Canis lupus familiaris: one gene and its partner. The protein of the gene in region 1 purifies or fractionates together with the protein of each later gene. This does not show direct contact. Links are inferred from orthologs where the notes say so. Each region holds a gene or a part of one and is shown on either strand. Other genes may lie near its edges. The genes, in order: LSM14A and DDX6.

What was found.
Region 2: the proteins of LSM14A (region 1) and DDX6 purify together in Homo sapiens (affinity purification with mass spectrometry; 4 studies listed by BioGRID and IntAct, with this or other methods). This does not show direct contact. The link is inferred for Canis lupus familiaris from reciprocal best matches to the Homo sapiens genes LSM14A and DDX6.

The regions. Positions count from the first base shown.
Region 1 is NC_049222.1:118,955,167-118,959,508, reverse strand, and holds the start of LSM14A (protein LSM14 homolog A), read left to right. Parts: upstream 1-1,342; 5' UTR 1,343-1,542; coding exon 1,543-1,663; intron 1,664-4,342. UniProt on the Homo sapiens protein: Essential for formation of P-bodies, cytoplasmic structures that provide storage sites for translationally inactive mRNAs and protect them from degradation. Acts as a repressor of mRNA translation. May play a role in mitotic spindle assembly.
Region 2 is NC_049226.1:15,026,232-15,030,535, forward strand, and holds the start of DDX6 (probable ATP-dependent RNA helicase DDX6), read left to right. Parts: upstream 1-1,481; 5' UTR 1,482-1,545; intron 1,546-1,659; exon of another isoform or gene 1,660-1,763; intron 1,764-1,770; exon of another isoform or gene 1,771-1,795; intron 1,796-2,622; exon of another isoform or gene 2,623-2,759; intron 2,760-4,304.

The DNA of each region.
Region 1 (4,342 bases):
CAGGGAGAGAGAAATGCTATGAAGAAAACATAAGCAAGCTAAGGGCATATGGTGGTGCAGGCAGGTGTCCTGTTTTAATCCCCAGTAAGGAAAGTCATCTCTGGAGGTCACATTTGAGATCTGAATGAAGAGCGAAAGTTCTGGGTGAAGAAAGGGTGGCTAGAACAGAATGGTGAAATGAGGTGACGAGGGGTTAAGTCGTCTATGTTTTTGTAAGCCTAAGTAAGGAGTCCGGCTTTCACTCTGTGACTAGAGATCACTCGGGAGAGGAGTACTGAGTAGAGGAAAGACATGATCTGACAGATTTTAGCAGGACCCCGGCTGCTGTGTGGAGAGTTAAGTACTGGGGGCAAGAACAGAGGTAGAAGGACCTTTTAGGAGGCGATTGCGGTAACCCCGGGCAGGGAAGGGCAGGGGACGTGGGGTTTGTTGTAGAGAGGCAGGAGATGGAGATGGTGAGAAGTGATCAGATTCGGGTCACCCATTATCGATGGAGAGGGCAGGATTTGCAATCAGAACAGATGTCGGGGTGAGAGAGAAGTCCAGGATGACTCCAAGGATGAGCAGTTGGATAAACAGCACCAGTTCCCGCGGTGGTGAACCGAGTGGCCGAAGGTTAATCTCAGAGGGAAAAACCGGGAGCCTTGGTTTGGAGACACAAAGTTAATCAGATGCGGATTAAACGTGCAACTAGAGAGAATGAGGGGGTCTACGGCTGATCTGAGTCCAGAGTTCTCCGAATTGATCAAAGCAGCAGACAAATGCCTGGGATTGGTCTGTGTAGAGTGGCCCTGAAAGCCACGAGCCCAGATGAGAGCATCCCGAGGTGTTGGACAGAGTCCCAGCTCCAGCAGCTGCGAAGGGGAGAAGGGGGGAGGGGGAAGGGGAGGGGGGGACGGGCTGGGTAATGGGATGCTGCGATGGAGCCCGGGGAGCTTCCAGAGGGCCACAGTAGCCTCGAACGGGAAAGGACCGGGTCCTAACGGGGCTCGGCGGGAGCTCGGGGGCGGAAGGGCCCCTTTCCAGGCTGAGGGATCCTCATTCGCCGACGCAGGACGCAGGACAAGATGCGACGGGTCTGCAAATGGCGGAGGCCGCGGGGGAGGCCGAGAGCGCCGCGCGCGCCCCCACCGCCGCCCACCGAGTCCCGGCGCCGCCAGGTACGCCGCCTCTCCCTCAGTCGCCGCCTCTCAGGCCGCGCGAGCACGGCAGCCGGGGACTCGACCCGGCGGCGCCGCCGCGGAGACCCCCGAGGCCGCCCGGGGAGGCCCCAGCCGCCCGCCGCCGGCCTGAGTCTCGCGAGAGCGCGGCCTCGCCTTGCCCAGCATGCCCCGCGCCGCCGCCGCTGCCGCCGCCGCCGCCGCCGCGCCGCGGCTTGAGGGCGGGAGGCTGGGGGAGGGTAGCGGAGCCGGCGCCGCCGCCATGTTGGGTCTGAGGCGGCTGCTGTAGGCGCCGACGGAGCGAGCGGGCTTGCGGAGCGGCGACAGCGGCGCGGGATCTGCCTCTCTGCGAGCGGCCCGGAGCGGCGGCGGCGGCGGCGCCATGAGCGGGGGCACCCCTTACATCGGCAGCAAGATCAGCCTTATCTCCAAGGCGGAGATCCGCTACGAGGGCATCCTCTACACCATCGACACCGAGAACTCCACCGTAGCCCTCGCCAAAGGTACGCCGGGGCGGGCCTCGCGGGGGAGCGGCGCCCGGCTGTAGGCCCGCGGCCCCCTGCCCCCCCCCCCCCCCCCCCGCCCTCCGCCGTCCTCGGGGAGGCCGCTCCCTTCCCTCCGACCGGGCCCGGGCGTCACGGGGCCGGGCCGCGGCCTCCCCCCCGCCCCCCCGCGCCCCGGGGGCTTCCTGGCTTCCACCCCGGGGACGTCCGCGCCTTCAATCCGGGACCTGGAGGACCGAGAGCGGGGCGGGCGGGGCGGGCGGGGCGGCCCTCAAGTCCGAGCACGGGCCAGAGAACACGGAGAGACGTGTTCTTCCAACTCCGAAATTCGGGGGTTCTGGCGTCTCCCCACAAAACAAAGCCCCGAGTATTCAAAGAATTCTTCCGCCCAGCTCGAGTTTAGTTGCAGATTTGTTGATTCCGAGGCACCTATTTTCTCACGTTCTCAATTTCGATTTGTTGGCGGCGTCCCTCAGGTGAAGTAAGTGTGTGTGGGGGGGTGGGGGGGGCGATGTGCCAAAACTTTGGGTCTCGCCCCGCGACGCCGACGGTCTCGGGGCCCTCGGGCACATCGCGCCCCACTTGTCCGCCTTACGTGGTGTTTACCTGCTAAACCGGAATCCTCCTCAAAGGCCGTTGTGCAACCGCGTCTTTAAAAAAAAAAAAAAAAAATGCTCGCCGGGGTGCGCCCGGGGTACCCGGTGCGGAGGCGGGTTCGAGCTTGATCCAGGTTGCACCCTCGTCCCGAAGGCTGCGCCGCGCGGGCCCTGCCGGCGGGTCCCGGGGACGGCGGCGGGTTCGGGGCGTGGAGCACCGAAGGGCCCTGCCCCTAAGGATCTCACTGAGCGTCGCCCCGTCTGAGTGGGGTTTTGTTTCCGTTCACACGTGGTGGGGCCTTGGCTCCGCCGGAAAACCGGCAAGAACGTAAACTTGAGCTCCCGCTTCCTCAGGTCTCACGAGTTTGGGATGACTTAGGCGAGGGGAGCAAGGTGATAACCAAGGTAGCCTTTCCAGGTACATCTGGTAGAGAGACGGAACGAATGAGACCGTGGTAGAGACAAGAGGCCCAGGGCCAGGAAGAAATTTTCTAAGTCTGCAAAAAAAAGAAGACAAATTTATAACGGAGCGGGAAGTTATTTCACAGCATCACACGAGTACTTAGTGACATTTGGGGGGTCCTTTTTAATAACACTTGTGTTGGGACAGATTGTATGCCTGAGTTACGGAGTCTTAATTTTTTTTTTATCTTAAGTTTCTTTTCCACTGCCCCATAGATATTTAGCTGTATAGTGTCTTAGTTTTTATGGCTTTATGAAGTTATCAAGAAGACTTTCTTTTTTTTTTTTTTTAAGATTTTATTTATTTACTCATGAGAGACACACACACAGAGAGGCAGAGACACAGGCAGAGGGAAAAGCAGGCTCCACGCAGGGAGGCCGACGTGGGACTCATCCCGGTACTCCAGGGTCATGCCCTGGGCTGAAGGCAGGCACTGAACCGCTGCACCCGGGCTGCCCTCAAAAAGGCTTTTTTAAAGTTCTCAGTGAGGCCCACATACAGTATTTGTAAGCTAATCTGAATTTTAAGGTGTCTTGCCAGTTGAATGACTTACCATTGAGTTGGCTGTACTTTTTTTTTTACTCCTCACAATGACAAAAATTAATACATTCTTAAGGTTTCTTATGTATTAAATTTAGTCCTTTTTTTTTTTTTTTAAAGATTTTGTTTATTTATTCATGACAGACAGAGAGAGGCAGAGACACAGGCAGAGGGAGAAGCAGGCTCCGCACAGGGAGTCCGACGCAGAACTGGATCCCGGGACTCCAGGAACGCGCCTGGGCGGAAGGCAGGCACTAAACCGCTGAGCCACCCAGGCGTCCCTAACTTTAGTCTTTTAAAAATCTTTGAATTCTTATATTCTTTTATACATTTTATACATTACACATTTTTTTTCAGCTTCTAGAGTCAGTAAACTACAATTTTATTAGTCTGTAGTAGTTGAATTCACAAACCAGTTTGTTCTTGTATCATGTCTTGATAAATACAAGCACAGGAGTGAAAAGTTTTTTTAATCATTGAATTTATATCTGTGCTTATGGCTTTGATAGTTAATCCCACAGACATGATATATGCTTTTTTTTAAGCAGGAGTTATTTAATATTTAATAGAGATTGAGGGATTTAATTGTGTTTGCAAAAATGGTAGTTATCAAATTTTCGTACCTTACTCTACTTAGCATCTGATCTAAAACTTCTGTATGGCTATCTAGTCAACACTGGACATTTCAAATTTCAGAGTTAGAAGTGGGGTGTTTGGTTTTCAAATTTTAAAATTTACATGACTTGTGAAGTAATTTGATATCTGATATTTCACGTTTTTCAAAATTTGGTTGAAGAATGGCAGTCTAACAGATTAAAGCCAAAAGTTTGTTTATGAAGTTTAGAATACCATATGTATATGCATTTAGAGATCTCTGTTATCTTTGTAAACTATCAATTGAGTTAATCTCAAGTGACATTCTTAGAATTCTCTTCTGGATGTTAATTTTTTCCCCTCTGGGTAGAGTTCTTTCCCTTTTATTGTGAAGTAACCACACATGTTGAAAAGATACATAGATAAAAATGAAATGTTTTTAAACTAAGATGCTGTAACTACCACCCAGGGCAAGACAGACATTGC
Region 2 (4,304 bases), on another chromosome or scaffold:
ACCCTCTCCCTAGGCTGGGCACAGGGTGCGGGGTCGCTCCCTGACAGCAGCGGCGGTGTAAAATCTGGGTGGGAGAGCACAGGCTACGCTACACGTTCAGGATCTTAAAAACTGTCAAGGGGGATCCTCCCTCATAATCGCAAGAACGGGCTTTTCTTGCTTCTCCACCACCTTTCCATTGGCTGCGCGGAGAAAAACAAAGGCGACCGAAGGAGACCAGGCCATTTCCTCGGAGCCCGCTGAGCGAGGCCGCCGGCCCCTTCCCGAGTTCGGCGGAGACCGGCGGGGACGCAGGGAGGTCCCGAGGCTCGCTGTGATTGGAGGCTGCCGGCGTGAGGGAGCAGGAGGCAGGCTAACCAGCCGCGGGGCGTGTCCGAGCGGTCGGTTTGGGGAACAGATTTGGCTTTCTCTGATTGGCCCCGAGTTGGGAGCTGGGGCAAAAATTGGGGAACTGGCCGGGGACGCCGGGAGCGCGGGGGTCCCGCTTCCGGTCGGTCCGCTGGGGACACCCGGGGGCCGCCACTCCCTTGACCTGACCAGCTTCCTGGCTTCCAGTTTTCCTCTCACCCGGGGCCACACAGCGCTCCCCACACTCCTGCCCAGGAGAAGCGCAGCCATCAGGACAGGACGAGTAGTTAGGAGGCCGCCGGGCGGCCACGGAGCTAGAGAAGCAGCGGTCGGGGCGGGGGCGGGGGGGGGCGGGGGCGGGGGGTCAGGCCCGGGAAGACTCGCCCTCGGCCGCCGTCTGGTTCCTATTTCCACGAGAAGTGACTCCTCAGCAGCTTTCCCTTCCCGGCGGGGAGGTCGCAGCCCGCGCCCCCGCCCCCCCTCAGCGGGGCCGTCGCCCCCCTTCCGGTCCTCACACCCGGCGCGCGCCGGCACCTCCGGGCCTCTAGTGCGGCGCGCTCCCGGCTGAGGCGCTCCCGGCTGAGGCGCGCCCGCAGGGGCTCGGCCGCGGCCCCCGGCTCCGCAGGCCCCCGGCTCTGCAGCGGCTGCCGCGGCCCGCGGGGGACGTCAGGTCAGCTCTCCCGTCCCCGAGCCGCGCGGCCCGGACGCCGCGTCCTCGCTCGGGAACAAGGCGCCCCTCCTCTGGTCACAAGCCCCGCTTGACTTGCAGGGCCGCCTCTCCCCGGCCACCGTGTCCCCACTCGTTTCTCCTCAGCTGTGGAGAAAGCTAGCCCTCCGTCCCACTCTGAAAGGAACCCGTGTCTCCCCTGCGAGTCTCCGTCGCCCCGGTCGGTGTGAGAGCACCGCCGTCTGTTTGCTCCTCGGGGAGGTTCCCCGGCCAACGCCGCGCCGGCCGCGAAGCCGAGGAGGCCGTGACGCCGCGGCAGGCGCGGCGGCGGCGGCTGCGGCGGCGGCGGCGGCGGAGCTCTCGCCATCTTGCGTGGAGGAGGAGCCGCGGCCGCCGCCATGCGGACAGGCAGGGGGAGGGGGAGCGGAGGGGGAGGGGGCGGCGGGCGGGCGGGGGAGGGGCAGAGCAGCCGAGTTAGCTCAGCCCGGGCGGCGACTCCGGCGGCGCCATGAGAGCGGGCAGCGGCGGAGGTAGGGCCGGGCGGCCGGGAGAGCCGGCGGGCGCGGGCGGCCCGGGAGCGGCCCCCGGAGCGGGGCGGGGGCGGGGGCGGGAGGAGGAGGCGGCGGCAGAAGCGAGGGGCCGGGTGGGGGCGGGCGGAGGTTTCCGAGGAGGAAGGAGCCGCCGCCATTTTGGGAGCTTCGAGTCAACAATAAAGGACCGAGGGTGCCGAGCGGGAGTGGCCTCGGCGGTAGGACTCGGGCCCGAGCCTCGGGGAGTGGGGTGAGGTGGTGGGGTCGAGGTCAGCGGTGCGGTCGGGGCCGCGGGGAGCCCCTCGGCCGGCGGGGGGGGGGGGGTGCTCTGAGGCGGAGGCCTGAGGCCTGGCCGGGTCCCGGGGAAGAAGGCGGGCGGCGGGCGGCGGGCGGCAGCCGTGTGGGGCGGGGGGCGCCTGAGCGGAGTCGAGTATGGGGGTGTCCTGCGCGGCGGGGTCCGGAGAGGGAGCGGGCGAAGTACTCGGAGGAGCTTTGTGGAGGACGAGGGGACCTGGGTCCGCAGGGGCGGCAAGGACTTCGGGGGATGGCGGAGGTTATAGGGTACGAGGCGGCCCTATAGGGGGCGGCAGGGACATGCAGCGTCGGAGGGCTCGATTTGGAGGAGGACCCGCTGCTGCTGGCTTGGAATAAGGCCTCGTAGGTCGGTAACAAGAGGGTGATTATGGAGCCCCCGAGTCGTGGAGGAAAAGGAGGGGCTTTCTGACTTAAGGGTTTCTCTTTGGGGCCTTCTGGGGGTAGTCCCTATTGTTTCCTGCCCGCGGAGTTGGTTCCCTGCTCTTGTGGCGCAGCTGCGAAGATAGGGCCCCAACCCTTTTGTGTTTATGGTCACAGGGGGCTGGCTGACTTGAAGTGTGTGGTTTGGGGGGGGGCGTGTTGGGGAGCGAGAAATTACCTCACAATCCGGGGTTCGAATCATTGGCTTGTCCCCCCTCATCCTTCACTCCCTTTTCTCTACCACAGCCCTCCCACCCCCTCCCCCGTTCCCCTCAGAAGAAAACAGTCCCTCCAACTTGCAGACCAAGCTTAGAGAAACTGCGCTGCATTTGCAAACAAAAGCTCTTGTCTGAGATGACGATACTGTTTTTGGGTGTGAAACTGTCAATTGCTAACTACACAATCTGGGAAGTGCTGTAATTAACTCCGCCAGGGGCTCCTCCCAACTAGTCTACGTTTCGTTCGTATTTTTGAAAAATGTAGAATGTAACTTGCAAGTCTAAATTGGGAAGGGGTAGGAGGAATATTTCCTTCTCTGAGACATAAAGCTGCAGTGCAGGTTTCGGTTCAAGTAAGAAGGGAGTAATAGTCCTATTTTGGATCTAGGGAGATGAGGTCTTAGATTAAGAGAGAGCTCGTGGGACGATAATTTATCTTAATCTTTAGAGGTTGCCCTCTTCATCTTACGGATTTGCAAACAAGTCTTGTGTGAACTCCGTGATATTGTTGATCATAATATAAACCTGTCGATACAGGGAACAATTTACCGCCTTGAACTGAAATTAGGTTGGCTGTTAACCACGGTCTGCGTAAGGCATTAGATTCTAAGAGACTTAGAAATGTACAGCTTTGTGTATATGGTAATCAGGATTTGCTTCTGAGCAACTAAATATTCAGTTTTTTAAAAAGTCATAACCAGTTGTCTTGGAAAAGATTTATTGTTTTGGAATCTTTGGTGTTTGGCACACAAAAAAATCACCATCAATTAATAAACTAGTGTGTATTTTTTGGTAAGAAATAGAAGAGTTAAAAAAGCACAAACCTAACAGTACTTTATTGTCCATCCTTTGTAAATTGTTTTTACCTACTACTTTTCAAAGTAAGAATTTGATTTTTGGGAATAATTAAAAACGGAGGTTGACTAGTTCTTTTTTAAAACAACTATTTAGTACTCTGGGTTTCTTGGAAAATTTGGTTAAAGTTGCTAGTCTGTTTTAGGCTTTCACAGATTTTTTTTAGAACAGTTTCCTTTTGTGTTTTTTATCGATATTTTTTGATAACAGCAAATATTTTAAGTTAGGATACACTTTTTTGGAAAGTGTTATTAAAACGGATTTAGCTAATAGTTTTTTTTAGTATTAAGTTAGCTAAAGATTCTCTTGGCTGTTTCTCAAGCAAAAGATTTTGACATGGAGACCTGTCTCTGTTTCAGTTACTTTTTTTTTTTTTTTTTTTTTTAAGATTTTATTTATTCATGAGAGAGACAGAGAGGCAGAGACATAGGTAGAGAGAGAAGCAGGCTCCATGCAGGGAGCCTGATGTGGGACTTGATCCCAGGACTCCAGGATCACACCCTGGGCCGAAGGCAGGCGCTAAACCGCTGAGCCACCCAGGCATCCCTGGTTACTGTCTTAAAGGGCAAAATTTAAGAGGGAAAAAAATATTTTTCTTCATAACGTTAAGCCTCTGTAGTTGAAATCCATAAAGTCACAAATGTGTATTTTTGCCCCAGAAAACATAAAGTTAAGTCAAAAGCTCAATTTCAGGAATTCTCAGTTGCTGTCAGAAATAGAAAAAAAAAAAAAAAAAATGAATGGTCTTGCCTTGTTCCAAGATATGTAGATTTACATTAATAAAATTGTGTGATACTTCATTGAGTTGTAATGCAATTAAGGGTAATGAATCATTGACTTTTAGAGGTGGCAGGGATTTTTAGAGAATTCATCAGGGAGGAAACTGAAGGGAAGAGATTGCCATTTGACAGCTAATGCTAATTTAATCACAATATCTTTCTACCTAATCTT